Linked DNA regions of Sus scrofa. The protein of the gene in region 6 interacts with the protein of the main gene of each other region in a pairwise test. Links are inferred from orthologs where the notes say so. Each region holds a gene or a part of one and is shown on either strand. Other genes may lie near its edges. The genes, in order: TEAD4, SEMA4C, FBXL18, MAB21L2, ARID5A, PNMA1 and SUV39H2.

What was found.
Region 1: the proteins of PNMA1 (region 6) and TEAD4 interact in binary tests that used the Homo sapiens proteins (3 or more experiments, as listed by UniProt). The two-hybrid records come from large-scale screens. The link is inferred for Sus scrofa from reciprocal best matches to the Homo sapiens genes PNMA1 and TEAD4.
Region 2: the proteins of PNMA1 (region 6) and SEMA4C interact in binary tests that used the Homo sapiens proteins (3 or more experiments, as listed by UniProt). The two-hybrid records come from large-scale screens. The link is inferred for Sus scrofa from reciprocal best matches to the Homo sapiens genes PNMA1 and SEMA4C.
Region 3: the proteins of PNMA1 (region 6) and FBXL18 interact in a two-hybrid assay, tested with the Homo sapiens proteins (2 studies listed by BioGRID). The two-hybrid records come from large-scale screens. The link is inferred for Sus scrofa from reciprocal best matches to the Homo sapiens genes PNMA1 and FBXL18.
Region 4: the proteins of PNMA1 (region 6) and MAB21L2 interact in binary tests that used the Homo sapiens proteins (3 or more experiments, as listed by UniProt). The two-hybrid records come from large-scale screens. The link is inferred for Sus scrofa from reciprocal best matches to the Homo sapiens genes PNMA1 and MAB21L2.
Region 5: the proteins of PNMA1 (region 6) and ARID5A interact in binary tests that used the Homo sapiens proteins (3 or more experiments, as listed by UniProt). The two-hybrid records come from large-scale screens. The link is inferred for Sus scrofa from reciprocal best matches to the Homo sapiens genes PNMA1 and ARID5A.
Region 7: the proteins of PNMA1 (region 6) and SUV39H2 interact in binary tests that used the Homo sapiens proteins (3 or more experiments, as listed by UniProt). The two-hybrid records come from large-scale screens. The link is inferred for Sus scrofa from reciprocal best matches to the Homo sapiens genes PNMA1 and SUV39H2.

Annotation. Positions count from the first base shown.
Region 1 is NC_010447.5:67,164,657-67,168,887, forward strand, and holds the start of TEAD4 (transcriptional enhancer factor TEF-3), read right to left. Parts: upstream 2,924-4,231; 5' UTR 2,899-2,923; coding exon 2,673-2,898; intron 1-2,672. UniProt on the Homo sapiens protein: Transcription factor which plays a key role in the Hippo signaling pathway, a pathway involved in organ size control and tumor suppression by restricting proliferation and promoting apoptosis.
Region 2 is NC_010445.4:56,757,754-56,761,360, reverse strand, and holds the end of SEMA4C (semaphorin-4C), read right to left. Parts: coding exon 3,530-3,607; intron 2,654-3,529; coding exon 2,493-2,653; intron 2,415-2,492; coding exon 2,344-2,414; intron 2,209-2,343; coding exon 1,379-2,208; 3' UTR 526-1,378; downstream 1-525.
Region 3 is NC_010445.4:4,068,098-4,071,865, forward strand, and holds part of FBXL18 (F-box/LRR-repeat protein 18), read right to left. Parts: intron 2,259-3,768; coding exon 715-2,258; intron 1-714. UniProt on the Homo sapiens protein: Substrate-recognition component of the SCF (SKP1-CUL1-F-box protein)-type E3 ubiquitin ligase complex.
Region 4 is NC_010450.4:78,384,978-78,389,297, reverse strand, and holds MAB21L2 (protein mab-21-like 2), read left to right. Parts: upstream 1-1,289; 5' UTR 1,290-2,454; coding exon 2,455-3,534; 3' UTR 3,535-4,122; downstream 4,123-4,320. UniProt on the Homo sapiens protein: Required for several aspects of embryonic development including normal development of the eye.
Region 5 is NC_010445.4:46,700,900-46,704,161, forward strand, and holds the end of ARID5A (AT-rich interactive domain-containing protein 5A), read right to left. Parts: coding exon 3,149-3,262; intron 2,882-3,148; coding exon 2,722-2,881; intron 2,340-2,721; coding exon 1,116-2,339; 3' UTR 729-1,115; downstream 1-728. UniProt on the Homo sapiens protein: DNA-binding protein that may regulate transcription and act as a repressor by binding to AT-rich stretches in the promoter region of target genes.
Region 6 is NC_010449.5:97,048,800-97,053,175, forward strand, and holds PNMA1 (paraneoplastic antigen Ma1), read right to left. Parts: upstream 3,059-4,376; 5' UTR 2,219-3,058; coding exon 1,157-2,218; 3' UTR 351-1,156; downstream 1-350.
Region 7 is NC_010452.4:46,875,947-46,879,680, forward strand, and holds the end of SUV39H2 (histone-lysine N-methyltransferase SUV39H2), read right to left. Parts: intron 2,096-3,734; coding exon 1,966-2,095; intron 1,192-1,965; coding exon 1,085-1,191; 3' UTR 516-1,084; downstream 1-515. UniProt on the Homo sapiens protein: Histone methyltransferase that specifically trimethylates 'Lys-9' of histone H3 using monomethylated H3 'Lys-9' as substrate.

The DNA.
Region 1 (4,231 bases), on a different chromosome or scaffold from region 6:
TGGATAGAACCATCCACCTGTCACCACTAAGAAAAAGGGACGCATCCGCCCAGATATCCATCAGCTGGGTGAACGGATAAACACCACCGGCTCGTGCGTACAGTGGAAGGTGATTCAGTCTTAAAAAGGAAGGACATCCTGACACCTGAAATGACACGGAGGAACCCTGAGGACATGATGTCAGGTGAAAAAGCCAGCACAAAAGGACAAATACTGTGTGATTCCATGTATATGAGGGCCCTGGAGGAGCTCTAGCCAAAGCGGTAGACTGGATGGCGGGTACCAGGGACTGCGGGAGAGGGACCTAGGGGCCAGTGCTGAGCGGGGACAGAGTTTCAGTTGGAGGGAATGAGAAAGTTCTAGAGACGGGCAGTGGGGATGGCTGCTCAACCACAATGTGAACGTACTTAATGCCACTGAGCTGTACACTTAAGAATGGGTAACAAAGAAACAGTGGGTCCCACTGTGGCACGCGAGGACTGTCTGCTGGCTCTCCAGACCTGCCACCACCGGGGCCTCCCCAACAGGCAGCACCCTCAGCGTTCTCCCCACACCGAGCGCCTCGAACACAATTGTATTTGCCAGGCCATGTGTCCTTTTAAAGCAGGAAGATCAATCCTGCTAGGCGCCTGGGCACTGACCACTGCCCCATCAAGGGACCCTGATTTCTCCAGCCACACCCCCGCCACGACGTCACCGTCACACCTCAGCTCATGACCAACACGCACCCCACTCTCCATCAAGCCGTGGAAGAGCCCAGGCCACCCAGCTCCACGGGAAGAGCCTACCTAAAGCAGGTCCCACCCCTGGCACCCACAGCTGCTCTGCGCACAGCGGCTGCCTCTTCCGTGAAGCTTCCATGGGGACCCAAAGTAAGAAGCAACCACTGGAGCAGGACGTGGTTAGAGCAAGGTGCCAGGGGAGCCCAAACCAGGGCGTGGAGACCCGCAGAAGTGGGGGCCCCGCAGAGCCTCAGCGGAGGGGCTGGTAAAGTCGGATGAGCAGCTGTAACAGGTAACCGAGGAGCAGAGCTGGGGTCTAGCTCGAAAGGACCTTGCTTCCTCCAGCAGGAGAAGGAATCCCTGCCCTTGCAGGGCAGGTGCAGATTAAAGACAAGCAGGTGGGGCTGGCTCCCTAGACCAGTCACAAAGCAGATTTGAGTTTAGTTAATTGAACAGAGTGGAACAGCGCCCGCCGCCCCCAACATTCACATCCATCCAGAACCTCAGAATGTAATCGTATCTGGAAATGATCTTTTTTTTTTTGGCCTTGCCCATGGCATCTGGAAGTTCCTGGGCCAGGGATCAAAGCCACACTACAGCAGTGACCCAAGCTGCTTCAGTGACAACACTGGATCCTTAACCACTAGGCCAGCAGGGAACTCCAGGAAACAGGGTCTTTACAGAATTAACTAGCTAAGATGAGGGCACACTGGATTAAGGGGGGCCTTATATCCAACGACTGGTATCTTAGAAGAGGAGGACACACAAAGACAGACAGACAGGACGGCCATGTGACAACAGAGTCTGAGACCAAAGTGCTACAGCTACAAGCCAAGGACACCAAGGGCCTCCAGCTGCCCCCAGAAGCTGGGAGGGGGCACAGATCAGATCCTCCGGCAGAGCTTCCAAGGGGAGCCAACCCCCAGCACCCTGAGTTCAGACCTTCAACCTTCTGACTCGGGAGAGGATACATGTCTGTCATCTTAAGGCAGCCCTGAAATTCGAGGTGGTTTTTTACAGCAGCCCTAGGAGCTGAGATCAGTCAGCTGATGAGGCATCTGTGCTGGGGGAGGGGCACCCACGTGGGGGTGGGCACTGGCCCAGAGCCATCTCATGGGAAGCAGGGCAAGACCCTCTGTGGACAGGGGCTTCAGCCAGTCAGAGATCCCCACAGCTCCTACCCAGTCCCAGTGTTTCAGGCTGGGGGTCCCAGGGAACTTTCCAATGGCAATGGAAGCCTGAACGGAGCCTCTAAAAGTTGTTCCGTGTTCATTTTGCTTCCCAGATACCCTCTCTTCCATCCCAAAGTCAACACAGCCCAGGCAGACGGCTCGTTCCTTCCCAGGGTCTGCGGGACAAAGTGCCTCTGTGTCCTGCATTGACAATGACGCAGAGGGCGTGTGGAGCCCCAGACCACGCCTTCCCTGATGGCTCTCAGCTAAGGGGCACACTCCTGCAGGGGGGTGGTCCTCACCCCCCCCCAACCCCGGGACACTCTCAACGCCTTGTGTACAGTTACCTGTATGCCCACCCCCACGTACCATGAGAAGGGACTAGATCTGCCCCGCCCCTGCCTGGCACACCAAAGGCCCAGGTATGAATGAGGGAGTGAACCAGGACCGCCTTCCTAAAGGCCTTCACAGCCACAGTGGGAAGCTGGGAGATCAGGCATCTGCCTGGGGGGTGGCTAAAGGGATTTTCCCAGCCTGCCCCGGGGGGATGTTCTAGGCTTTCCCAAGTTCCATCCTCACAGCCACCCAAAGGTGTCTCCCCTGATGCCTCCCAGCCCTTGGGAGCCTAGGACAGAGTAAAGCAGCGTCTGCCAGGACAAGCCCCAAGAGGTCACCTCTTTCCATCACTTGGAGGGAACCGGGTTGCTGTGCCCAGGCTGTTCCTGGGGCTGGACCATGAGCTGGCGGGCCTGCTGCCCAACACTGACAGCCTCCTTACCGTACATCTTGCCCTCATCCGATAGGATGATCTTGCGCCGACCGCAGGGCGGGTAGATGGCCAGGGCCTCCTGGAAGCTCTGCTCGATGTCGGGGCTCCACACGCCCTCTGCGTCATTGTCAATGGGCTTGTCCAAAGCCTGGCTGCCCCCAGAGACGTTGCTCCCCTCGGGGGAGTTGGGAGAGCTCCACTCGTTGGAGGTAATGGTGCCGGCCTTGCCCTCCAAGGCTCCGCTTGGAGGAGCGCCCGTTGGACCTGGGTGGGCAGAAAGCACAGCATTGGTGGATGAACGTGTGGACAAGGGGGTGGGGGAACCCAGGGAGCACCACCCCTGAACCAGGTGCTTCTCCTTTCCTGGTGCTCATGGCCCAGGAGCTCAAGGGGAAAGCCAGGGAATCCCATGGGGCAAAGAGTGAGGTGGGCGGGGCAGGGCGGGGTGGGGAGGGGCTGGTCAAGGGCAGGTCATCTCCCCTCCACAGACCTCAGCTCCCCACCCCATCAAAGGAGCTCAGCAACCAGGCACTGTCTGATTGTGGCTCTAGGAACCCAGATGGGGCTGAGAAGTTAGATGAGGGCCAAGTACCATGGATGTTCTACATTAGACCAAAAAGGGCCAAGAGCATACAAAATACTGTGCTCTGTTGGTGGGAATGTAAAATGGTGTGACCGCTAGGAAAACAGCATGGAGGGCCAACCAAAAAATCAAAGAGAATGACCATAGCACCTAACAATTCCACTTCTGAGTATATACCCAAAAGAACTGGAAGTAGGGTCTCAAAGACACTCATGTTCAAAGCAACATTATTCACCACAGCCAAGGGACAGAAGAACCCAAGTGTCCATGGACAAATGAATGGCTAAATAAAATGTGGTCTCTACGTATAGTGGAGTGTTATTCAGCCTTAAAAATGAAAAAAAAATCTTTTTGTTTGTTTTTTAGGGCCACCCTGCAGCATATGGAAGTTCCCAGGCTAGGGACTGAATCAGAGCTACAGCTGCAGGCCTACACCACAGATACAGCAATGCCAGATCCTAGCCATGTCTGTGACCTATACTGTAGCTTGTGGCAACATCAGATCCTTAACCTGCTGAAAGAAGCCAGGGATCGAACCCACATCCTCATCGACACTAGTTGGACTCTTAACCCACTGAGCCACAACAGGAACTCCATGAATATGCTTTATTTTGTCTTTTGTCTGGCCTCACCCATGGCATATGGAGGTTCCCAGCCTAGGTCAAATCGGAGCTGTTGCTGCCAGCCTACGCCACAGCCACAGCCACGCCGGATCCTTAACCCACTGAGCGAGGCCAGGGATCGAACCTGCAACCTCATGGTTCCTAGTCGGATTCATTTCCACTGTGCCATGACGGGAACTCTGAATATGCTCTTAACATTACTGAACTGCACACTTAAAAATGGTTCGTGGTGCAGTGGTTAACGAATCCGACTAGGAACCATGAGGTTGCGGGTTCGGTCCCTGCCCTTGCTCAGTGGGTTAACGATCTGGCGTTGCTGTGAGCTGTGGTGTAGGTTGCAGACGCAGCTCGGATCCCTCGTT
Region 2 (3,607 bases), on a different chromosome or scaffold from region 6:
GTAGATCAACTATAATAGAAAAAATAAAAATCTTTTAAAAAATACAAAATACGTTAAAAAAAAAACAAACTAGCATTCCCCAAGTGTAGGGCTCGAAGTAATCTCTCCTGCCCCAAGCTGGCTGGGAGCCTCACCCTCGCACAAGCTAGTCCACACAACCTTAAACTGCTTCTAGAAAGTTCCCCTCCTCCCACCCTCACTCCCACTTCCCCCTCCCAGAGTTCTGGGAGGCCAGGCCCCTCCTCCCCTCCTGCCCTGACTTCTCCCTATGGCCAGAAGCCAAGGCTGGCTCCCCAGAGGCTGTGGCCCTGGTCTGGTGCCCAGTCTGAGCCACCACTGTGGGAAAACACTGGAGCCTGGGCTCTCCCTGCTCCAGAGAGGGGCACCAGCAGGAAGGGACCACTGAAGGGGCAGCCACCCCTGGACTGGGCGTGGGGACAGTCCAGCCTCCCTCTTGGCACCCAAGTTTTATTTTTTTTTAATTTTTATTTTAACCTGAATGTCTTATCTCCATGACAGGAACAGTTTCATTATCGCCATTTTATTTGTCAATATAAAAATACTCAAATATTTACAACAAATAAATACGTGGGGACACAATAAGTTACACTGTCAGGAGCCCTCCTCCTAGGGCTGGGAGAGGATACACCCTCCACAGCATGCCCACCCTCTCTCCTCCCCCCTCCCCCCATACCCTTCCCCAGCCCCATCACGGAGGACAAGTAGGAAACACCACAGAACGCCAGGGCCAAGGGGGCGGCCCCTCCCACCCTTCCCCCAAACACACAGGAGGCTCCATCTCCCTCCCCCCACCCTGAAAACATTCACAGCCCTGGGAGCAGGACCCGGCCCACCCCAGAGCCCTGTGCTCCCCCAAAGGGGCACAGCACCCTGCCCCACCCACCCCCATATGTACATGGCTGGCCCGCACGGGGGACAGGTGGGGGTAGGAGAAGCAAAGTGATACAACCCCTTCCCCTTCATAGCTCCAATGACCCACCAGGACCACCCCACACCAAGGGAAGACTCGACAGAAACAGGAGGACTATGTCGCACACGCACACATGCACACACCCACACACACGTATATACACAAGCACACCCATGTCTCCAACTTCTGCCTTGAAACATTTTGGCTGCTGGGGTCCCATGCGTCCGTGATTCACAGCCCCTCACAGAGGAGGAAGGTGCCTTCTGTGAGGCTGGTGCCCTGGTGAGCCACACCAAGTGGCAGTGCCCATGCTGACAGAGCAGGTCCTCATGGCCGGGCGGTGGCAGGCAGGTGCCCGCGCCATGTCCCTGAGGTAGCTGGTGCCTGTGCAAAAGTGGGAGCACACCTCCCGCGCCATCGCCGCCGCTGCTGCGTGGAGGGGTCCCCTCATACTGAGGACTCCTCGGGGTTGGAGTCCGGCAGCGGCTGGCGCTGCTGCAGCTTGCGCCTCAGTTCATCAGCCAGCTCGGGCAGGGGGTGCCCGAGGCCGCCCCGGTCCTCCCCTCCTAGCTGCAAGCGCACATAACCATTGGCATTGGAGTTCCGCCCGCCCCCCAGGTGGAGCCGGGTTGGAGAAGGCAGGGGCTGGCCGGGGATGCCAGGGGGTGGGGACGGTGGCCCCCCACCGGCCTGGCACCGGGCGTGGCCAGGCACGATCTTGAGGGAGCCGTCTGAGTAGTAGTAGCCCACAGGGTCCCAGAGTTTCTCATCTGTCTCGGGCCCGGGCCGGAACGGGGGGCTGGTGGGCTCCTTGGGCAGCTCCAGAGGGTACACCAGGGTCCTCTCTGCAGCCTTGGCACCTTTCTCCAGCTCCTCCCGCAGCCGCCGGCGCAGCGACAGAACCAGCAGCAGCAGCACCAGGCACACAGCGCCCAGGGCCACTACAGCCAGCCATACTAGGCCCAGGTTCTCCAGGGGGGCCCGGGCCTCCAGCGTCACTGACGGGCCTGCCACCACCGCCACCAGGTAGCCTTCAGCAGCCAGCCGTGCCCCCTGCTCCTCGGAGAAGCAGTGGTAGGCCCCGGCGTGGCGGGGCTGGGCAGCCATCACCACCAGGGCCTGCAGCCGGGCGTCATAGAGGAAGGAGCCGGGCTGCTCCGCAGGCAGGTCCCGGCCCCCAAAGGTCCAGCGGGCGTGGGCAAGGTTGGAGGAGAGGCGGCAGGGCAGCACCAGGTCAGTGCCTGCCACCACCGTGATGTTTTTAGGTGTGAGCCTGACTGCAGCGGCAAAGAAAGCAGAGCAGAGAGTGAGTGCAGGAAACTCAGGGCCGGGGTGGGGTGGGGGGAGTGGGGGGCGTGCAGGCACTTCAGCCAAGCCCCCCCACCCCAAGGGGGACTAAAAAGATAGCTCACCTTTCTTACTGCCCCGGAAGTTACAAATACTCGAGGTGTCTGAGACCGTCACGTGCTGGATCAGCAGGGATCTGGTGGGGGAAGCAGAGGCCGTCAGTGTCCTGGCTGCAGCTCCCCCCAGCCCCAGGGCCCAGCAGAGCCCCACGCACCCTGAGTGGCCACCCACGGCCACGCAGCGGCTGGTGTTGACGCTCCAGGCGCAGTAGGGGTCCCGAGCCAGCACGCAGTCAGCACAGGAGCGGTACTTGACGCAGTCGGCCAGGGGCAGCTGCACCAGCTGGGAGCGGGAGCCCGCAAAGAGCAGCTTCTGCTGGAGAAACACAGGAGGGAGGCTGAGCGGGGCAGACACAGCTAGGACCCTTGCTGGGGACACAAGGGCAAAAGTTGCCCCAGGGAGGAGAGGGTGGTGCCCACATCCTGAGGAGGGAAATCTGAGGACCAAGAACAGGCAGAGGGCTTACTGTAAGCCAGCCACAATCCTAAGCACCTTACGGGTGTGACCTTCTTAGAGCAGAATGGCGGACCTGGGAGGCCAAGAAGTGTAATGCACTCACACACACACACACACAAAACTCCAGGAAAGTATAAATAGCGCAGGAAGCACAGTTTCCGCAGGGCCAGTCAGCCTCACAATAGCACCAGCAGAGCATGAGGCCTTTTCCTCTGTTTGAGGGGCGATGGTCAATTCCGTGTGTTTCTTCGACCATGGACTTTCTGCCATTTTTCCGTGTTCTGGGGAACAATTTGAGCCACCAGAGTTGTTGAAAGGCGAGCAGACAGAAGCCCCCCAAGTATGGTAGAAGAGAGCGGAGCATATGGGGAAGCTGCAGCAGCACTTCAGGGTCCAGACTGGCGGGAAAGGGGCCATCACGTCATGAAGCAAGGCAGCCTGAGGCCTGGCCAGTAGGGGCGCCATCAGAGAAGAGGCCATGAGTAGCAGAGGCCTGGTGCAACCCCAAGGGGTCTGAGGGCACTGGGTGCAGGTGCCGAGGACCCGTCCTGGGAACGCAGCCCCGTGGGGACCAGGCCAGATATAGAGCCTAATGCCTGCAGGGCCCAGATTCCATCAGCACTCATTCCTGGGACTTGCCTGAGCATCTCCCCACCCCTGTACAGGCCACGCACACGACTGGGGAAGGTGTGGGGACAGTGGGGTGGGGTGGGGAGGGGGGGCACTGCTTACTACCTTGCTCTGTGACAGGACCAGGCTTTCCACAGGCTCCTGGTCAAACACCTGCAGCTCTTCAATCAGGTGGACCCAGGG
Region 3 (3,768 bases), on a different chromosome or scaffold from region 6:
AGGCGAGAAGGACAGAATCCTCTGAAAAAGGCAGTCCGGGCCCTCCGTCCTGCGAAGGGCGGCGGTCTGAGCCCCCCATTCCCGGCAGGCAGGTCCCAGCTCCAATCAGATGTGGTCTCGGCAGCCAGGGCACACAGAGAACCCATTATGGGTGCCGGTCAGGTTCTCGGGCCAGCGCACAAAACCCACTTGTCCCGAGTCCTGCAGCTGACCCCAGCCACAAAGTCACGCTGCCGTCACAGCCCTGCTCCTGGGGAAGCCCTGGGCCACAAGGGCTTCCCCACTCTGCCAGTCGCTACTGAGATGCAGGTTCAATCCCTGGCCCAGTGCAGTGGTTAAGGATCCGGTGTGGCCACAGCCGTGGTGTAGGTGGCATATGTGGCTTGGATTTGAGCCCTGGCCTAGTAACTTACATATGCCACAAAAAAAAAAAAAAAGTACAGCTCCCCTCTCCCCGCCCCCCAAAACAGTGGTAAAGCTGGGTAGAATGCCCAGGTGTGACGCCCACCCCCTCCGCTCTGTAGTTAAGACTGACGTCCCCCTCGTGACCGCCCCAGGGGCCAGGATGACGTGCCGCGCACACCGACCCGTCAGGCGCCCCCGCCCCGAGACTCTCAGCCCCTGGAGGGCGGGTCTGCACCCCGCCTGTCTCGGCAGGCCTGCAAACGCCTGCCGGCGCCCCCTTCCCCACGGCGCCCACAGAGGCGCCCTCACCTGAGGTCCTTCAGCCGCTTGCAGTGCTGCAGCATGTCCGAGAGGGCCGACGTGTAGACCACCTTCCCCATCATGCCCAGGTTGGCCAGTGAGAGGGACTGCAGCTGCTGGCACTGCAGGCCGATGCTGACCAGCCCGGAGCCCGTCAGGATGCTGGGCAGCTGGGCCAGCGTCAGGTGCCTCAGGAAGGCCAGCTGGCCGATGGCAGCCACCTCCGAGTCCCCGACGCTCTGCGCCCGGCTGCAGGGCGGGAGGGAGTTGCGGATGGCGGGCTCGTTGCGTGGCATGGCCGAGGAGAAGTTGGAGCCGATCAGCTCGAGGCGGTCCAGGAAGGGCACGCTCTTCAGCAGCGACCAGAACACGGAGGCCGGCTGGGGGCCCGCCTGCCCGGGGAAGGGGCTGGGGCAGGTCTGCACGCCCACGCGGACCTTCTTGCCGAAGCCGCGGGGCACGGCGTGCATCGCGGGCTGGGCGGGCGCGCGGTCGGCCCGCGGGGCCGAGTCGGCCACGGCGCAGACGGGCAGGGACAGGGAGCGCAGGTGGCGCAGCCGGGCCAGCAGCTGGCAGAGGTGGCGGCCGGGGCCCTCGGGGCTGTGGTGGTGGGCGGCCGACAGGTTGAGGTGCCGCAGGTTGCAGCAGGCGGCCACCAGCGTCTCCAGGATGCCGCTGTCGATGTCGTCCTCCGCCTTGCGGAGCAGGGAGTCGGGCGCCAGGCAGTGCACGCAGCCGCTGAGGTTCAGGCTGGCCAGGCTCCGCAGGTCCCTCCCGCCGTTGAGGACGCGCTGGATCAGGTGGCCGCCCGACAGGGCGCAGCGGCTGAAGCTGAAGTAGAAGGGCCGCCTGAAGGTCATGTGCTGGAGCAGGGCCGAGCCGTTGAGCCAGGACTTGGGCAGCTGCAGGGCGTCCAGCGCCACGTTGCGGGCCATGGACTCCAGGAGGTTCTTGGTGGCCCCGCTCTCGGCGAAGCTGCCGGGCACAGAGATGAGGAAGGCGTGCAGGTTCTCGGGCGTGCGGTCGCTGAGCACGGCCAGGTACAGGCGCACCACCTCCTGGTTGATGTAGCCGGGCGCCAGGCGGGCGTAGAAGACGCGCAGGTGCTGGTAGTGCGGCACGTTGCTCTGGCCCACCATGAGCTGGCCCGACAGGACGGCGCCCTCGCGTGTGCGGTCCAGGATCTCGAAGTAGAGCAGCAGCTTCTCGAGGCTGGTGCAGCAGGGCACCACGCCGTACGAGGGCGTGTACAGCGTCTGCTTGAGCTCCCGCACGCGGCTCAGCGTGGCCTTGCACTCGCTGCTCAGCTGGCTGGCGTCGAAGCCGGGGCTCACGTCGATGGCCAGGGAGCGCAGGTGCTGCAGGGCCGACAGCACCTTGGAGAGGCGCAGGGAGGTCAGGTGGCAGCCCGCCAGGTTCACCTTGACCAGGCCGCGGCAGCGGGCCACGTGCTCGACGGTGGCGCCCGACAGCCAGTAGCAGCCGGCCATGCTGAGCTGCTGCACCTCCCGGCCGATCTCCCGCACGAGCTGCTTCACCTTGTCCTCGCTGGCCTGCGGGCAGGGCGGGAGAGGAGGAGAGGGGCTGAGGCGCCAGCCGCCCCCACCGCCCTCGCTCCCCCGGGGCGTGCCCTCCCCCACGACGGTCAGGGGGCCACCCCGGCCCCTCTCCAGCTAAGGAGGGACACTCGGGGCCAGAACCGGGGCCTCCGCCCCTCCAGCAACCGTCGGGAGCCCCGGGCAGGAGGGGCCGGCAGGAGGGGCAGCCCCTGCGGACAAGTCTGGGGGCTCCTGGAAAGGCGACACACAGTCACCAGGTGACCCAGCAACCCCTCGGCCAGGTGTGCTCCCAGGGGACTGAAAGCGGAGACCGAGACAGACGGTCGCGGCCGCACTGCTCTCACGAACAACCCCGCCACCCGTCCAGGGAGGAAGAGGGGCCCATCCCTGAGTGGAATTCCACTCCCCACGGGCCGGCGCGAAGCTGTGACGCGGCTACGTGACCCTTGAGGACAGGGTGCTCAGTCAGCGCCATCCTCGCTCAGTCAGTCACAGGCCACATGCTGCATGAAACTGCCGGAATAGGCAGCATCAGTGACGGAAAGGAGAACAGAGGTCCCCAGAGGCCGGGGAAAGGGGAATGGGACGGACTGCTCCGTAGCTGCAGGGGGTCTGCTTAGAGGCATAAAGTTTTGCAAAGAGCGAATGTATTTATGGCTCTGGAACTGCACACTGAAAAACGGTCAAGATGGCAGCGCTCCCGCTGTGGCACGACAGCCATCACTGGAAGCGCCGGGACGTGGGTTCCATCCCTGGCCCAGCACACAAGGCTGAGCATCCGGCACTGCCACAGCTACGGCTCGGGTCGCACCTGCAGCTCAGATCTGATCCTTGGCCCAGGAGCTCCATGTGCCTGGGGATGGCGGGGGCGGGGGATGGTTAAGACAGTTAAGCTTCATGTTAAGCGGGTTTTTTCCCCAGTCACACAAAGGAAGCAGGTCCTGGAAGAAGGCTCTGCCTGTTACTTTCCTTTACATGACATGTGCTTTCACAGTGATGAGTGTTCCTCAAAAATCTGGCCCGGGAGTTGCCGCTGTAGCACAGCCGGGACTGATGGTGTCTCTGCAGCGCCAGGACAGATCTTCCACCCCAGCCCACGCAATGAGTTAAGGGTCTGGCACTGCCACAGCTGTAGCAGAGGTCACAACTCCGGCTCGGATTGGATCCCTGACCCGCCCAGGAACTCCATGTATCTTGGGGAAGCCATCCAAAAAAACCACCTGGCCCGGATTGCTTGAGAGCCACGGTATGTCCAGCCGGGGCCCAGCAGCCACCAGGGCCTTTGGAAAACAAAGCATCAAGCATCCGTGTACGTTTCTGATCACTTCTCAGGGCAAATGTCCACCCAGGGAACCGTGCAGGCGAAGGACACGCTCCAAAGAGTCTGTGCTGGGGCGCCTGCCCCGCCCCATCCCATCCAGGAAAGAACCCTTGCGGGCAGAAGCCTGACCCTGCACTTCGGGGAGTAAGCTCAGCCCCCACAGGGGAGGAGCACAGGTCTCTC
Region 4 (4,320 bases), on a different chromosome or scaffold from region 6:
TTCGCACAACCGGCTTCATAGATTTTTATTGTTACAGCATTATCTGAGAATTTAAGATGCAAAATCTAACTAAAAATATTCCCATATACTCGACTTGTCTTAAAAAAGACTCAGAATCCACACATCTGAGTTCAAACATAAACCTTCAATTCTAAGCAAATCAGAAACACTGCTACAGCTTTTTCAACCATAAGTACCTAAAGGCTACCAAGGGTAGAGCTTGAAAGGATAATACAGATACTAAAAGCACAAGCATGAGTTTCACTGAAATGCCAAGGGAGGAGTGAAGCCATCTGTGTAATCAATAACAGGATAGTTATAGATTTCTGCAGCAGTGAAGTCTTTTAAAAGCAAGAGTCTATAAAGAAAATAAAATGATTTTACAAATGAAACTGTAATGTCTGAAAATATATTCAAAATTAGGTTTACAACATTAACATTTTAAGAAAACTTTAACTCAGGTTCACATTTACTTCCCTTCATTTTTATTACATTTAAAATAATTTTAGTGGCTTAATATAAAAGTATATATTCAACAAAATTCCACCATATATAAATCTGCACCATTTCTCACAACTTAAACATATTCTAATAACGAGTTAGTCCTTGTAACAAAGTAATAACATTAAATATATCTGAATCTTAATTATGAGTAATTATGAAACAAGGTGCCTGCACTACTTTTGCCCTGCCCAGTTTTTCAACAGCATATGGAAATTACTGAAAAGAGATTTATGATTATAAATCCTCACCCCATGTCTACCCCCCCCCAAAACTGGTGCAACAAATACAGCAATTACTCTGGGTCTTGGCAACAATGGGAGAGGATGGGAAAGAAAGGGAGGAAGACTCTGCCAGAGTAAAAAATCTAGAAAAATTTAGGTCCTTTCCCAGATTGCCCTTCCTCCTCCCATTTGCCTTCAAGCCAAAGTAATTTTGTTAGAGTTTGCACCTTCTTCACAATGTTGATAGGAAAAAAAAAGTGAACCTTTCTGAACCACTGCTACTCTCCCAGCCATCTCCAAGAAGTCCCTTCTCTATACTCTTTTTCTTCCTTGCAACTGTTAAGAGAGGAGGATAAAAAGAAGGGGCTGTAAAATGCGTGTGAGCATTCGACTTCTACTATCTCCTCCTATTTTCTTACTTCTCTTTACCCCCTTTCTTTATCAAGTGCAGCGGTGGCTGCTACCGTTTGCCAAGCATGCCTGTCTTCTCTCTCGGATTGGCTAAAGCACTGACAGCTCGGATAGCGATTGTAGGAACTAAAGCTCCACCCCCTTCATGATGGCCCAGGACCATTCATAAACTAAATAACTCCAGGAAACAGCAAGGCAGAAAGAGAGAGAAAGAGACAGAGACAGAGAGAAAGAGAGAGAGAGAGACTCAGAGAGAGAGAGAGAGAGAGAGAGAGAGAGAGAGACTCGGAGAGAGAGGGAGGGAGAGGGAGAGAGATTTGAAGCGAGAGGGAAAGAGACATCAGAGGGGAGGAGGGAGAGACGACTCAGAAAGTGGAATCTGCACAAGCAACCTAAAGGGGGAGGAGAGGAAAAACCCTCGAATCGTTATAACTAAACCCCAGATGCAAAGCAAGCAACGACCTCGTCACACTAAAATAGACTTTGTGAGGGCCAAAATTATAAATTACGAAGCAGAAATGAATATCAACCAACTTCCAGCAGTTTGCACCTAAGACAGACAAGAAGAACCCACTGCAAACAAACCAACCCAGTCCAAACAACGCCTCCAGTAGGAGAAGAGGAAAACCACTACAAGAGGACCCCCTGAGAAGAGACCAGACCCACACGCTGAGAGCGCAGGCGTCTGCGAACCTCCGAACCTCCGTGCCGCGGACGGAGGTGCACTTCACTGCTCTCTGGACATTAATTACACCCTTCACCTTCCATTCGGGGGAGGGTTAGGAGAAAAGCACTCACCTAAGCTGAATGAAGAAGGGCGACCAGCGTGGGGGAGAAGTTTAAGAATGAAACACTGAATGTTTCGCTTTTATTTTTAAATTTACTCTGGCACTTAAAAGACCTGATTTCCAGATTCCCGGGCCATCTCTGATGCAGACGTCTAAGCCTAACCTCTTGGTAACCTGAATTTTTCTCTCTCCCCCTGCCCTTTTCCCTCCTCCCCTTCATCTCTCCCGCAGGCACATCTTTATTTCGCTTATCAAGAGAAAGCAAAAAAGTCTCAGCACGTACTTTTCTTTTTCAAAGATCACCTTTTTTTTTTTCTTCTTATTTTCTCGATAAGAGAAAAGCTTTTGAAAGAGAGCGAGACAGCTGAAGCACCAGCTGGCCAGCCCAGGTGGAAAACAAGAGTGAAAGTGGGGCTTAGTGGGAGCGCAGCGCCTCTTTCGCAAGCCGCAGGGCCACCACCAGCGCTTGAGCCTTGGATCCCTCAACGTACTGCGAGACGCCGGTGTACAGCCCGGACCTGTGCCCCAACATGATCGCCGCCCAGGCCAAGCTGGTCTACCAGCTCAACAAATACTACACGGAGCGCTGCCAGGCGCGCAAGGCGGCCATCGCCAAGACCATCCGGGAGGTCTGTAAGGTGGTCTCGGACGTGCTCAAGGAAGTGGAGGTACAGGAGCCCCGCTTCATCAGCTCCCTGAGCGAGATCGATGCTCGCTACGAGGGGCTGGAGGTCATCTCGCCGACAGAGTTCGAGGTGGTGCTCTACCTAAACCAGATGGGCGTCTTCAACTTCGTGGACGACGGCTCGCTGCCCGGCTGCGCAGTGCTCAAGCTGAGCGATGGGCGGAAGCGGAGCATGTCTCTCTGGGTCGAGTTCATCACAGCGTCCGGCTACCTCTCTGCGCGCAAGATCCGCTCACGCTTCCAGACGCTGGTGGCTCAGGCGGTGGACAAGTGCAGCTACCGGGATGTGGTCAAGATGATCGCGGATACCAGCGAGGTCAAGCTGCGCATCAGGGAGCGCTACGTGGTGCAAATCACTCCTGCGTTCAAGTGCACCGGTATCTGGCCTCGCAGTGCGGCCCAGTGGCCTATGCCCCACATCCCCTGGCCCGGCCCCAATCGGGTGGCGGAGGTCAAGGCCGAAGGGTTCAACTTGCTCTCTAAGGAGTGTTACTCCCTGACCGGCAAGCAGAGCTCTGCGGAGAGCGACGCCTGGGTGCTACAGTTCGGTGAAGCTGAGAACCGCCTGCTGATGGGCGGCTGCCGAAACAAGTGTCTCTCCGTGCTGAAGACGCTTCGGGACCGCCACCTGGAGCTGCCAGGCCAGCCGCTCAATAACTACCACATGAAGACGCTGCTGCTGTACGAGTGCGAGAAGCACCCGAGGGAAACAGACTGGGACGAGGCGTGCCTGGGCGACCGGCTCAACGGCATCCTGCTGCAGCTCATCTCCTGCCTGCAGTGCCGCCGCTGCCCTCACTACTTTCTGCCCAACCTCGACCTTTTCCAGGGCAAGCCCCATTCGGCCCTGGAGAGCGCTGCCAAGCAGACCTGGAGGTTGGCCAGGGAAATTCTTACCAATCCCAAAAGCCTGGATAAACTATAGGGTGCCAGGGACTGCTTGAAAAGCGACACAAACGGGAATGCTCTCAGACACACAACACACACAACTGGGCGACCAACAGCGGAAACTCCAGACACAAACTTTTTTGTGAGCCACCTAAAAGGAAGGAGAACCCAACAGAAGACCCTCCCTAATTAACGAGCGAACAAAAGGAGAGCAAACCAACCAACCAAACAAACAAAATCACATTCTTGCACAAAAGTGATCGTTTTCTTCCGAACAATGTGAATTTAAAAGGTCACACAAAAGAAGCAATCGGGCTTTGCCACCACAAAATGAAACCCAAGGTACATTTTCAAATCAAAGTATTGTAGTTTCTCCCTTTTACTTCTCTCTCTCTTTCTTTCTCTCTGTCTGTCTGTCTTCAATTTGTTTTGGGTTGCCTGAATGTTGTCACCAAGTGAAAAAGTATTTAATTATATGTAAAATTTCTCTTTTAAACAAAACTTTGCTGATGTTAAATGTATCTCAGTGCCAATGTCAGATGTGCCCCTCCCTCTCTCGCACCTCTACCCTCACCTTAAGCAGTCTTGTCGAAAACAGTAATAAAAATATTACTTTACGTTGTAATTGACTGTTTGTGGACTGTTCTTAAATGAAGGCAGGTGAGATCAAAATTTCTAATTTACAATGTAAAGATGTGAACCGGAGGAACTAAAGGCAAGAAGCTGCCATCTTAATTCTAGTTTTCCAAATTTACAATTGTAGCACGTTTTGTAGATTTAACCATTCAAGTTATCACCAAAATCTTTAGAAAAGAGAAAATAT
Region 5 (3,262 bases), on a different chromosome or scaffold from region 6:
GAGAACAGGCAGCCTGAGGGAGGGCAGCGCAGCCTCTGACAAGGCACCCCCGCCACTGAGACAGGTGGGGGTGCCCTGCCCACCAGGCAGAAGCTGGACGAAAGAGGGCCTTCGGCTACGGGTTTCGGCCTCTGGAGCAACCACATCTGAAAAAAGGCAGATGCCCAGGCCGAGATTCTGGCCCCGTCCCTCCCCCTCCTCTTCCCTCCAGGCGCCCCCCAGTGGGACCCTCCTGTGCCCCTCTCCCGCCATCTGGCAGGCAAGTTGGGGGTAGGGTGGGGAGCTCACCAGGAAGATTCAGCAGCAGCCCCACAAGTGAGGCCACCACCAAGGCAGACTAACTCTGGCTTTCTGCTCCCACCCTCTGCTCCCAGGAGCATTGCTAGCAGCTCCAGGACACCTCCTGCCAGCTGGGTCCTGTGGCTCCACTCAGAGCATTGGAGTCACACCTGAGCGACAGCTCTGCTCTACCACTTAGCTGCCGGGGGGAACCTAGGCAAGTCACAGGTCCCCACTGAGCCCCAGGCCCCTGCCTACGCCATGAGGAAGGTACCAGGCAGTTGTCCTGAGCCTCGACTAGCCAAGCGGTGAAGGGCACAGCCTGCGTCCTGCTCTTCAGTGGGCTGATGACATCCCAGGTTGTCACCCCATTGGGGCCCCACCCATGAACACACCCCACCCCCGCACCTCGCTGCTCTTGTGAAGGTCTGTACCACATACACCTCAGAGCTGCGTGAATCCACAGGCATTTTATTGGATTTTCCATGGGCAGCCTGGACACCTCAAGCTGCTGACCAGCCCCCTGGCCCTTCACCCCACTGCGGGCCTCTGCTCTGGGGCCCTGGCCAGGAGCGGTCGGCCCTGCACTGTCTTCTCCCAAGGCCTTGCAACCATGGGGCCCATGGTCCTCAGGCTCCGGCTGCCTCCTTGAGAGAGAAACTCAGTTTTCCCACTGCCTCTCTTTGTGCCAGGCTGCCCAGCCAGGGCGACATCCCTGCCTTAGGCACAGCCAAGCTCTCCTGAGAAGGGGGCTCCAGCCCAGAGCTTCCGGCAGTGCCTCCCCATCCCGGGCCGCATCGGACCCCGCACTGCATCACAGCACTGCGGGCTCAGGCCTACAGCTTGGTGTTGAGGTGGAAAGAGAAGTGGGGCGCTGCATAGGTTGTGGCAGGTGGGACGTGCCACGCAGACGAGGCCGGACAAAGTCTGTGGCGAAGGGCACTGTCGAAAGATGCTGGGGGGAAGTGCATGAGGCCAGCGGCCATGGGCGAGGGCGCTGTAGTGGCCAGGAGGTGGGCCGGGAAGGCCGGGATGACCAGGGGGCTGAAGGGGAGTGGGGCCTGGCCCTTTAAGGGGTCTGGGGTGCCAGTGAAGTTCAGTGGGCAGCGCAGCATGGTACCTCTGTAGGCCTCTGGGAAGGTGGGCCCTAGGGCTGGGCCCAGCAGGCAGGAGACAGCCAAGCCAGGCCCTACAGACTTGGTCCCACACTCCTTGGCATCCACCTCCTTAAGAAAAGGAGACACTGCCCGCAGTTTTTTGCCACCATGAACCAAGCCCTCTTCCTCCAGGCTGCGCTTGCTGCCCAGGCCTGGGCTGCTTGGGAAGGTGGGCACAGGGCTCTCAGCAGGGACCTTGGTCATGGGGGACACCCAGCAGGCTTTGGGTTTGGGGTAGAGGCTGCCCTTCCTGGAGCCGCCCTTGTGGAATGCAGACGGACGGTTGGCATCCCCACCCCATACCAGCTGGGGCTCCTTGGTCGGCAGCCCTTCCTCTTTGCCAGGGGGCCCCAGTAACACCGCATCTTTAAGACTGGGGAGGAAGTCCCGGGGGTGCTGGCTGATGGGCTTCAGCACCTCAGAAGAGTAGGTGTGGAGGCAGCCGGTGAAGGTGGGGGCAGAGGGGCGAGGCCCCACCTGAGCCTCCTCCCTAAGACTGCCACCAGGGCCCTGCACCCCTTCCGGAGGTGTCAGCTGGTGCCTGGAGTTCTCAGCCAGCCCTCCTGGGCTCTGGGGGCTCTCCAGGGGCTGAACAGTTGAGGGCACCTGGGGCTCCCCACTTGCCCCATGGCGACAGCCCCCCTCCTGGCATTGCAAGGCCTCTGCCTTGCTCACCTGGGCCAGGAGCTTCTTCTTGGCCAGTGGTGACATGATACCATGTGTCCCTTTACAGTAGAAGCTGGACAGGAGCCTCTTGTAGGCCTCAGGGCAGCCGCTGGCACCCACAAAGGGCAGAGAGGGCCCAGGGGCTGGGCCTGGCTGTTCCATGCTGTCCCTGGGGGGCTCCTGGCTGGGAAGCCTTGCTAGGTCGGGGGCGTCTGTTTTGGTCTTTCCTGGTGTCATCTAGAATGAGAAAAGGCCAAGCCTCAGGCCTGGGTCTGAGCCAAGGATCCTGTCCCGGAGACTTGGTGACAGCAGTCCCAAGTGAGTACCCAGGAGCCTCTGTTAGCCCTTCTAGTACCTTTGTGCAGAATTTTCAAAAGGCCATCCCATCCTCTGAATGGACAGCCTGGTGTCAGGACACAGGGACTGGTGAGTGCGGTGCAGACCCGAGCTCAGACCCCACATGTACTTGAGGGCCCTCAAGTAGTAAACAACACACACAGCCACCACAGGGCCCTGCAGCCCCTTGGGGACTGGCCTCGGGGCAGGTCTGGGTGCCGTGAGCGGCAGGGCATGGGAAAACCCGGTATGGCCAGGGGCCCCAGCCAGGCTCAGAGCTCACCTGGTCTACCTGCTTCTCCTCCTTGGCTTTCTTCTGTCTCTCAGTGGCACCATCGTCCCCCTGAGCCTCCTTGGCCATCTTGTACTGCTTCCTGGGCTTGGAGGGGGGCAGTGGCTTGTCATCCTCCCCCTTCAGGTGCCGCACATATGGGAGGACCAGCCTGAGAAGGAGCCAGGCACGTCCACCAGGAGGCCAGGGTTGGCGGGGGGTGCCACACCCTGCCCCGCTCCAAGCCCACCTGGCCTCCTCCCCACCCCCACCATGCACACCCCTGCCCAGCAGCGCACACCACCTACAGCCGTGGGGGCCCCGCCCCCCCTCATCTTGTCCAGGAGGCCTGCTGCCCTTCTCTCCCCAGCCAGGGTCCCACTGGCCCAGCCCTGGGAGGGAAAGGCCCAGGTCCCATAACCTGGGGGCCCAGCCGTACCTCTCGTAGTGGCGGCGCGTGCACGTGGCCGCGCTGGTGCTGCCCGGGCTGCCCCCCAGCTCATCGTACACATTCTTCCAGAGGCGCCGGCCGGTCACCTGCAACAGCGCCAGG
Region 6 (4,376 bases):
TTTTATGCAGATATAATGAGTTATTATTCCTGTGAAACATTTTTAGCTGAAAAAGAATTTGAAAGGGGAGGAAAAAGCATTGCTAGATAACTTCCTGAACCCTATTTCAGGATGTTATAACATTTTATAATAAGTTAATATTCACTATTTTGCCTTCTAACATTTGTAGAAAATATGCAGAAATTGAATATATTAAAAAGTACTGCAATTTAAACTTAGTATGATATAAAGCTTAAAGTAAAATAATTAAGGTTTGGGGGATTTTTTTAGTGATGGGGGAAATCTTCCTGAAAAAATGAAGATACAGAGCTTAATTACACTGAAAATTTTTATATGTTGCAGAAAAATAAGAGAATTTAAAAAATATTTTTATTAATATACATGTATTTGATAACTTCGAATTTAAAACATTTAGAATCAGCATGAACATGGTAAACTACTCTTCAATGACAAAGATTTGAAATGGGGGAATAGATGCTGTAACTGGTTCCTATTAACCTCCCCATGCATTTTATATCTGCATCTTACACAGTGAAAACTTGATTTACACAGCCCTGTAAGCGCAGTATCGTTCTAACACCCCATTTTGTAGTCTCAGAACACTTTTCAATTAAACTGATCTAGATCTTTAAAGATGTACAGTAAGAAATCTGCACTGTAAAGCTGAATAATACCTTATTCACATTTCTTTCCATTAATATAAACCAGGAACAATTTACGGTAGACACAAAAACTATTCACCACAGTTAAGAGTAAACAGTTGACATTTTTTACTGAACAGTTCTTTTGGTATCCAGGCCCTGCACTCATTATACATCTGAACATGCAATTTCATATTTAATTACCTTGATGGGAAGAGTCACGAGACCACATTTTTCACAACCGATGATGGTGCCATGATGATAGCTTGCAATGAGGACTCACGTCCAAGCCTTTCCCTGGCATTGTAGCTAGCATGACCCACGAGCGCTGCAGCAGATCTGGTGCTCCCCTGCACGATTGTGCTAATGACACATGAATACCCAGGCCGGACTCCCGCCCAAAAACAAAAAACACCGCTTAGTCTTTACTAGCAGGAGACACACCTGTAAGACATCACAGAGACAATGAAAGCAGCCGTGATCTAGGTCTGAACTAACGCCCCCTTTCCTGGGACTCAGAAGTGCCCCTCCAGGCCTAACTGCAGGAGGGCGGCCTCAGCCTCCTCCTCCTCTTCCTTGGCCTCCTCCTCGCGGATCTGCACCAGCAACTGGAAGAGGTTGGGGGCCGGCCCTTCAGCAGCCCCGGTCAGCCACAACTGCCTTCGGATGGCTCCGCTGTGATTGGCCCCGGCAATGACCTGCTCCAGGCGGGCCTGGTTCACGTTATCTTTATCTATGGCCCCCTTCTCAACCACCTTCTGCAGCAGAGGCTCCAGACGAATCACATAAGCAGATAATTTTTCTCCCGGGTTCTGGTATGTGTTCAGAAATCTCACCTGCGCATCCCTAGAGCTCTCGACGCTCCCAAACACCTGCTCCAGCGCCTTCAGGCATTCAGCGGTGGTAATCGCAGGGTTGTTGGTCTTGAGGATGCGGATGACATCAGCGGCAGGGCCTCTAAGGCTCTCCATCAACCGCCGCCTCTTTTCTACATCAGGCACCTGCCACTCCTCTATGACCTCATTAGTGTGCTCCAGCCAGGGATCAAATGCCTCCTCCCCTGGCCCCGGAATGTCCCTTCCCGAGAACAACGTCAGCTTCTTGTACCATATGGACTCAACCAGAGGCTGAATAACATTATCCAAAATATAGTTTAGCATCTCTGCCGGCATTTCGGGGCCTGGGGCCGGAGTGGGGTTCTGAAACCCAAGGACACGGGCAACATCTTGCACGGTCCACCCCTCTCTTGCTAGGAAGAGGTGCAACCTTTCTAAAAATTCAGCATCGGAAGTGGGGGGCTTAAAGACTACTTTCCAGACCCCTCCTTTACCTGGCATCTCCCTGGGGATCGCAGCATAATCGACAGCACCAGTGAGCTCTAACAAGGCTGCTTTGGCATTCTCTTCCCTCCAGAACATTCTCCCAAGCACTCGATAGGGCACCTGGGGCATCGCAGCTTGAAAGGTCTCTTCGATTTCGGTCTCATCACAGTTCACAGGGATCCCCCAGACCAGAAGGGCTCTCTGGGAGTTCACATCCATCCCCCTACACCAATCTTCCAGCAGTGTCATCGCCATTTTCCCAACTATCAAGGGCCCCAATTCTACAAATACAATTAGACTGTGGCTCCCTGTGCTCTAAAACTGAAGACAATAGCAGACGCTCCCACCGCCACCTCCCCCCATATGCCCGAGGGAGTCAATCACGTTTAACAAACGACACCAGTGTCCTGCTCTCCTCTTTTCGCTGCCCCTCAAAGCCAGGCCTCCGCGTTCTCGGAACGAAGCCTCGGGGATGCTCAGTCACATGGCCATCGCCATCTTGTGTCTCCGGTCGGGATCCGCAGGCCGGGTCCTCCACTTACAGGAAGGTGTCGCGTCGGAGCGCAGAGGCGAGGAAAAAAGGCGGGCGGCGAAAGCAGGAGCCGCAGGGCTTGATCGCGGGACGTGGCCGCCTCTTCGCAGCCTGGGCGCCAGGCACTCGCTGCTGCTCCCAGAGGGTGCAAGCTTTCGTTGCCAGAGCGGAGCACGCCTCAGACGAGCTAGGAGCCGCTTCTCCGCAGACAAGAACTAGTACCGCCCCCGGAGGGAAAGACTGTCCTAAGGGAAAGACAGCGGCGGCAGCGAGGCCAACCCGAGAGAGCTTCTTCGTGGGCAAACGTATCCCTCTGGGCGGCGAGGACGCCAAGGACCAAGAACACAGGCAGCAGAGGCGCAGGAAAGACGCGGAAGCCAGGCTAGAGGAGGCGCAGGCGCAGTCGCAGGCAGGCCGCGGCAGCCCCGCACGCAGGCGACCGCGGGCCGAGGTGGGCTGGAGCTGCACAGTTGTACCTCGGTCCCACCCGCAGCCAGCCTAGCCTTTACTGCCGCAGTGGAGGGCGGGGCCGGCCTTCGACCCGCCTCGCCCCGCCCCCCGCGGCCCTGCCCGCGCGACCGTAGCCACGGCAACCACCGACGCGAGACGCCGGAGCTCTAGCGGCCTGCAGGGGCGAATGGTTGCCATGGTGGCAGCTCGGGGCCGCGGGCGTTAATTTCCTTTACCGCGCATTTCCTTTTTCGCATTTTCCAGATTTTTTTTTTTCTTAACAAAGCACTGTGTTTAAAAGATAATATAATTCTGGAGTGGATTTAAGATGATATCCGGCCGTCAAGAAAGACTTGTCTACTCGCGTCGCTCGTTCAGAGGCAATGCTGTATAATACCCTGTACCACCTGACTGCACTCTGCACCCTCTAAATTTTATCCCAGTGAGTTGAGACTTCTTCTTGTCTAAAATGTTGTAAAAAGATCTAGATCTCTATGAATAGTAACCCGGCAAACACTAATGTGTTATTTCCCCTGCCCTGGCATCATGGATAAAACAGGCCTTATGGTTCAAAAATGTCAAGTATCCTTTGGAAGCAAACCAAGGCACACTTACAATCCCAGATGGTGAGATAATAAATCTTTCCCCCAAAGGACACAGAAATCAACTCTGAATTTTTAAAACCTTATTTAATAAAAGGTTTAAAGATACAGAAGAACATTCAAAAGTAAATAAGTTACATAGGTACATTACAATCACATCAGCAAGATTTTCTTTAGTGTGTTAATTTTTTTTTTTATAAAAAGCACACAAAAAATAAAATCTTCCGTCTGGTCTATCACAACTGTACAGCAAAAGAGGTAATATTTATATATATGTACACTATTTTAATATGTAACAGTCTTTTAAAAAAGGGTGCCACAGGCAGCAAACACACAAAAGGCAGTGTCTGATTTTTTCAAAATAAAAGGAATATACTTATTTATATGCTATTAAAATATTTGTACAATAATTACAGACTATCAAGGCTGTTCCTGTGCTCTGTCCCCTCCAACAAGGCCTTTGACTAAGAGACAAATGAGGAAAAGGTGAAACAGCTGCAAATTGTTAGTTAGAGGCAAATATTAATACAGCAAAATATGGGGAGGACATACAATTGTTTTATAAAAATATGCATACTTCCTGTAAACCTAAGGAGTTAGGCTTGCCACTGGTAATAAATACCATCTGAGAAAACTGAGCCCCGGTAAAAACATATTTAAACAGCTGAGGCTTGTGTATGTGTTGTATTCCTCCTTCATCTTAACATCTGGCACATGAGAAGAAAGAGGTTAGGTCATTGAGGCAGTTAAATATAGGGGATCCCTTTAGACATAAGCAGCACACGACCTCTGTGCCAGGGGTGGAAGTGGAGTAGCCAAAGGGATAGGT
Region 7 (3,734 bases), on a different chromosome or scaffold from region 6:
TTGGCCAAGCCAAGTTTAGCTTTATCACACTGAAAAAATTCATATATAAAGGAAGTATCAGTTCAAAATATAGATTACTTCTTAAGAAGGGCTTGTAGGAAATATAAAAATAATTACATCTGGTGGAAGGGAAATGTTAAAACTGCCTGAAATTCAGATGTTAATTATCATGAAAAACATTACCACTAGATGCAGCTGCTCTCAGGGACAATCCTATTTTACTGTGGAGACCAGAGGTACTCAGCATGGACCTCCTAATTCATCTTATCAAGAGGGCCCTTCAAGTGCTCCATTTCCCCTGCCTGGCACTCCAAAAAAACCCTCCTGGTCCCACCGCCTCATCCTTTCAAAGAAGCGTAATAGCCAGGTGTCCCAGAATTTTAGGGAGGACATTTTGGATATTTTTCTTATACAGGATTAAAAAATCTTTAAGAATTACTGGTTCAGACAACCATCCCTCCTAGTGGTCTTGAGTCTTTCAAAATATGAAATCAAGCTGTAATTAAAATTTTTTTACATTTAATTATAGAACTTAAATTTCTGTATATTAAGATCCCAATGTTTTAATGAAAGTAGAAAATAGAGTATAATTCAGTATAACTTATTTGTCTCAAATACAAGAACAATGAGTAGTAAGTAGATAAACAGGAATGACAACATAATAACAAAAATAGAGCTTGTATATTTGCCCAAAATGAATTAACTCTATTTCTCTAAATTCAAGATGTATGGCAAGTTCGATGTTTCATCTTAGTGACTCTTACATTATCAGTTTAACACTTAAACATTGAAGGAGGCATTTGCTATTCACACAGACCTTTTAAGTGTATATATGCTAATCTATAATCCTTTCATATTTGGCATCTAACCACTGAATATGTATATTTCAAATTAGTCTATGTGACCTTGTGTTCCTCTCTTCAGAAACATCAGTAATGCATTTGGCCAATCGTGTGAAACATGAATTGTAAATTAACATAGTGTATAATCTTGATAATGTGAAAAAAGTCCCAAATACTTATTTTTTAAAATGTTAACATTAGAAAAAAAACTACAATCATCTTCAGCTCTATTTCCTGAAAATTCAGTTGAGGTAACCTCTGCAAGTCACAGCTCCACATTTGCACACAGTTCTGGCCCTCTTTTTGGCTGGGCTGTGGTCAATAGAATCTGAAGATATATCTCCAGAACCTGAATACATAGAAAAAGAAATAGAGAAGAAAGAGTTAAGATAATTCAGAATGAGTTTCAAATTTTTTATCAGTTGTTAAGTAAGTGTGAATATTCAGAGACAAATCACTGTGAACTGGACAGGATGGCGTGGGCTAGTAAGAGGTACAGTGTATGTTATTAGCCCATATTTGTGAGAGTAGGTTTGCAAAACTATAAAACTTACACGTTAAATCCAAAATACAAGCGTTCATTTCATAAATTACTTAGGAGCCATAAAGCAAGGTCAGGTAGTAACAATATCTAAAGGGCATCACACTTAGAAAAACAAAGGAAAGAAAACATGTATTGCCACAGTAAAGCAGAGAGAATTAAATGTTCTTATAAAAGCCAAATTCAAGTAGGAATGGAGTAAGTTCATACATGATTTAAATCACATTTTCAATCTTTTGAATATATATCGGTAAACATTCAGAAATGTAGATTTAAAAATTTTTAAATACAAGTAATATTGAGAAAAGATGCTGTAATAAAGAAGCTTCTGTACAGAAGTTCTGAAAAAAGCAGGCAGCAATGCGATGCAGAAGAGCAGCACTCAGCCCAGCATCAGGCAGTCCTGGATTCTAGCGTTAGCCCCGTCAGATTAGCTTTGTGCCCTTGAGCGAAGGCAAACTCTCATAGCCTCATTTTTTTCATTCTTAGTATTAGTTTGGTTCAGATACTTTCAGGTCTTCTATTCTGATTAGACTCTTCACACTGAAACACCACCTAAGAAACTGTACTTGAAAACCATACCTTTCATTTGATAATCAAAAGTGAGCTCTTCTCCAGCATTTATGGTTCTTGTGGAAAATAATGCTATTCGGGGAAGACGGGTATCGAGGTTATCAATGAAAACATTGAACACCTGAAGATTTGGGTCACACTAAAAAGCAACATGAGAACCCATGTAAGTAAAAATAACATAAACGAGCTCTTCTACATGCCATATAAAACCTTTTAATTTCCCAGAGCATTAGTTTAAATTCTACTCAAAAGTAAGTTACTTGTTGTTTAGAGGTCTCTTGGGTATGCACATTTAAAAATACTGTGATCCTTTATAGAAAATTTCAAACATATATAAGACTAGAGAAAATAATATAATAAGTCCACATATATCTCACTATGAAGCTTCAACTGTTACTAACATTTTTGTCAATCTTGATTCACCAGTCCCAACTTTTTTTTTTGAAGCATTTAAATGCAAATATCAGGTAACATTATCACTTCACCTGTAAATATTTTAGTAAGGCATATCTAAGGAACCTAAGTAACTTTTTTTTTTTTTTTAAATCAAATCAGCACTATAGACCTCAAATTGCATACTGCACGGGGGAGTTTCATTTCTTTCTTTCTTTTTTTGGTCTTTCTGTCTTTTTAGGGCTGCACCCACAGCATATGGAGGGTCCCAGGCTAGGGGTCCAATCGCGGTCAGATCTGAGTCGTGCCTGTGACCCACGCCAGAGCTCACAGCAACGCCGGATTCCCAACCCACCAAGCAAGGCCAGGGATGGAACCCGCAACCCCATGGTTCCTAGTTGGATTCCTTTCCACTGCGCCATGACAAGAACTCCTTATTTCTTAAACTTTTGTTTGGAATTACTCTCTATGCTAAGCTCTGGCATATGCAAGAAAGATCCAGTGAATCATGCTAAGAAACCAAAATAATTGTTTAACTGTCCTTGAATAGAATAAATCTATTTTGAGAGAATCTCAATTTTATCATTAAGGAAAAATTAAATGTTTAAGTAAACCAAAAAACAAAGGAGTCAGAAGGTCTCTGACATTTTACTGCTAATCATCAACTAGTTTCTTGTTAAAAAATCCACCAAAAGATTAACATGGTCTACTTCCTTATATGGTCAGCTCTAGAACTTACTAAGACACGTTTTCCCTGTAATCTATGAAATGGAGATAATGTTCTTCTCACAAGCCTAATATATTATCCATCTAGCAAGTAGTAGGTGTCTGGTAACTCCTAACCTCCCTTATTTTTGGAAATAACTTTTATAGAGTATAAGATTCTGGAGTTAAGGATCCAACTGTACTCTAAGTTCTTTTCAAACAGGAATTAAGAAAACTAATTAATAATTTAGAAAAAGAGCCCTAAATACTTCAAAACTCTACAAATGCTTTAATAAAAATGTTAACATTTTTAAAAAAATGTTAACATTTACATTTTAAGAGAATACAAGCAATCTTTAGTTATATATCCTAAAATTTAGCTGTGTTTTCTCCTGTAAGAAACAGAGTTGTGTGTTAATACTTGAACTTTTTGCCTAACTCTTCTGCTTATTAATTTCCTCCTCTATTTGAGGATAATACCTATTTTATTAAGTTGTTAGAAAGTTTAAATGAAGTAACACATGTACAGATTCTTGCAGCAGGCACAGTATTTGGTAGTTACCTTGAATTTTCCTAACACAGCAATAATACTAGGAATTAAAAGAGTCCCTTATATTAAAATACTTTGGAAATAATGAAAGAATATACAATTAAAATTATTCCTCAAGTATGGAAAGCCT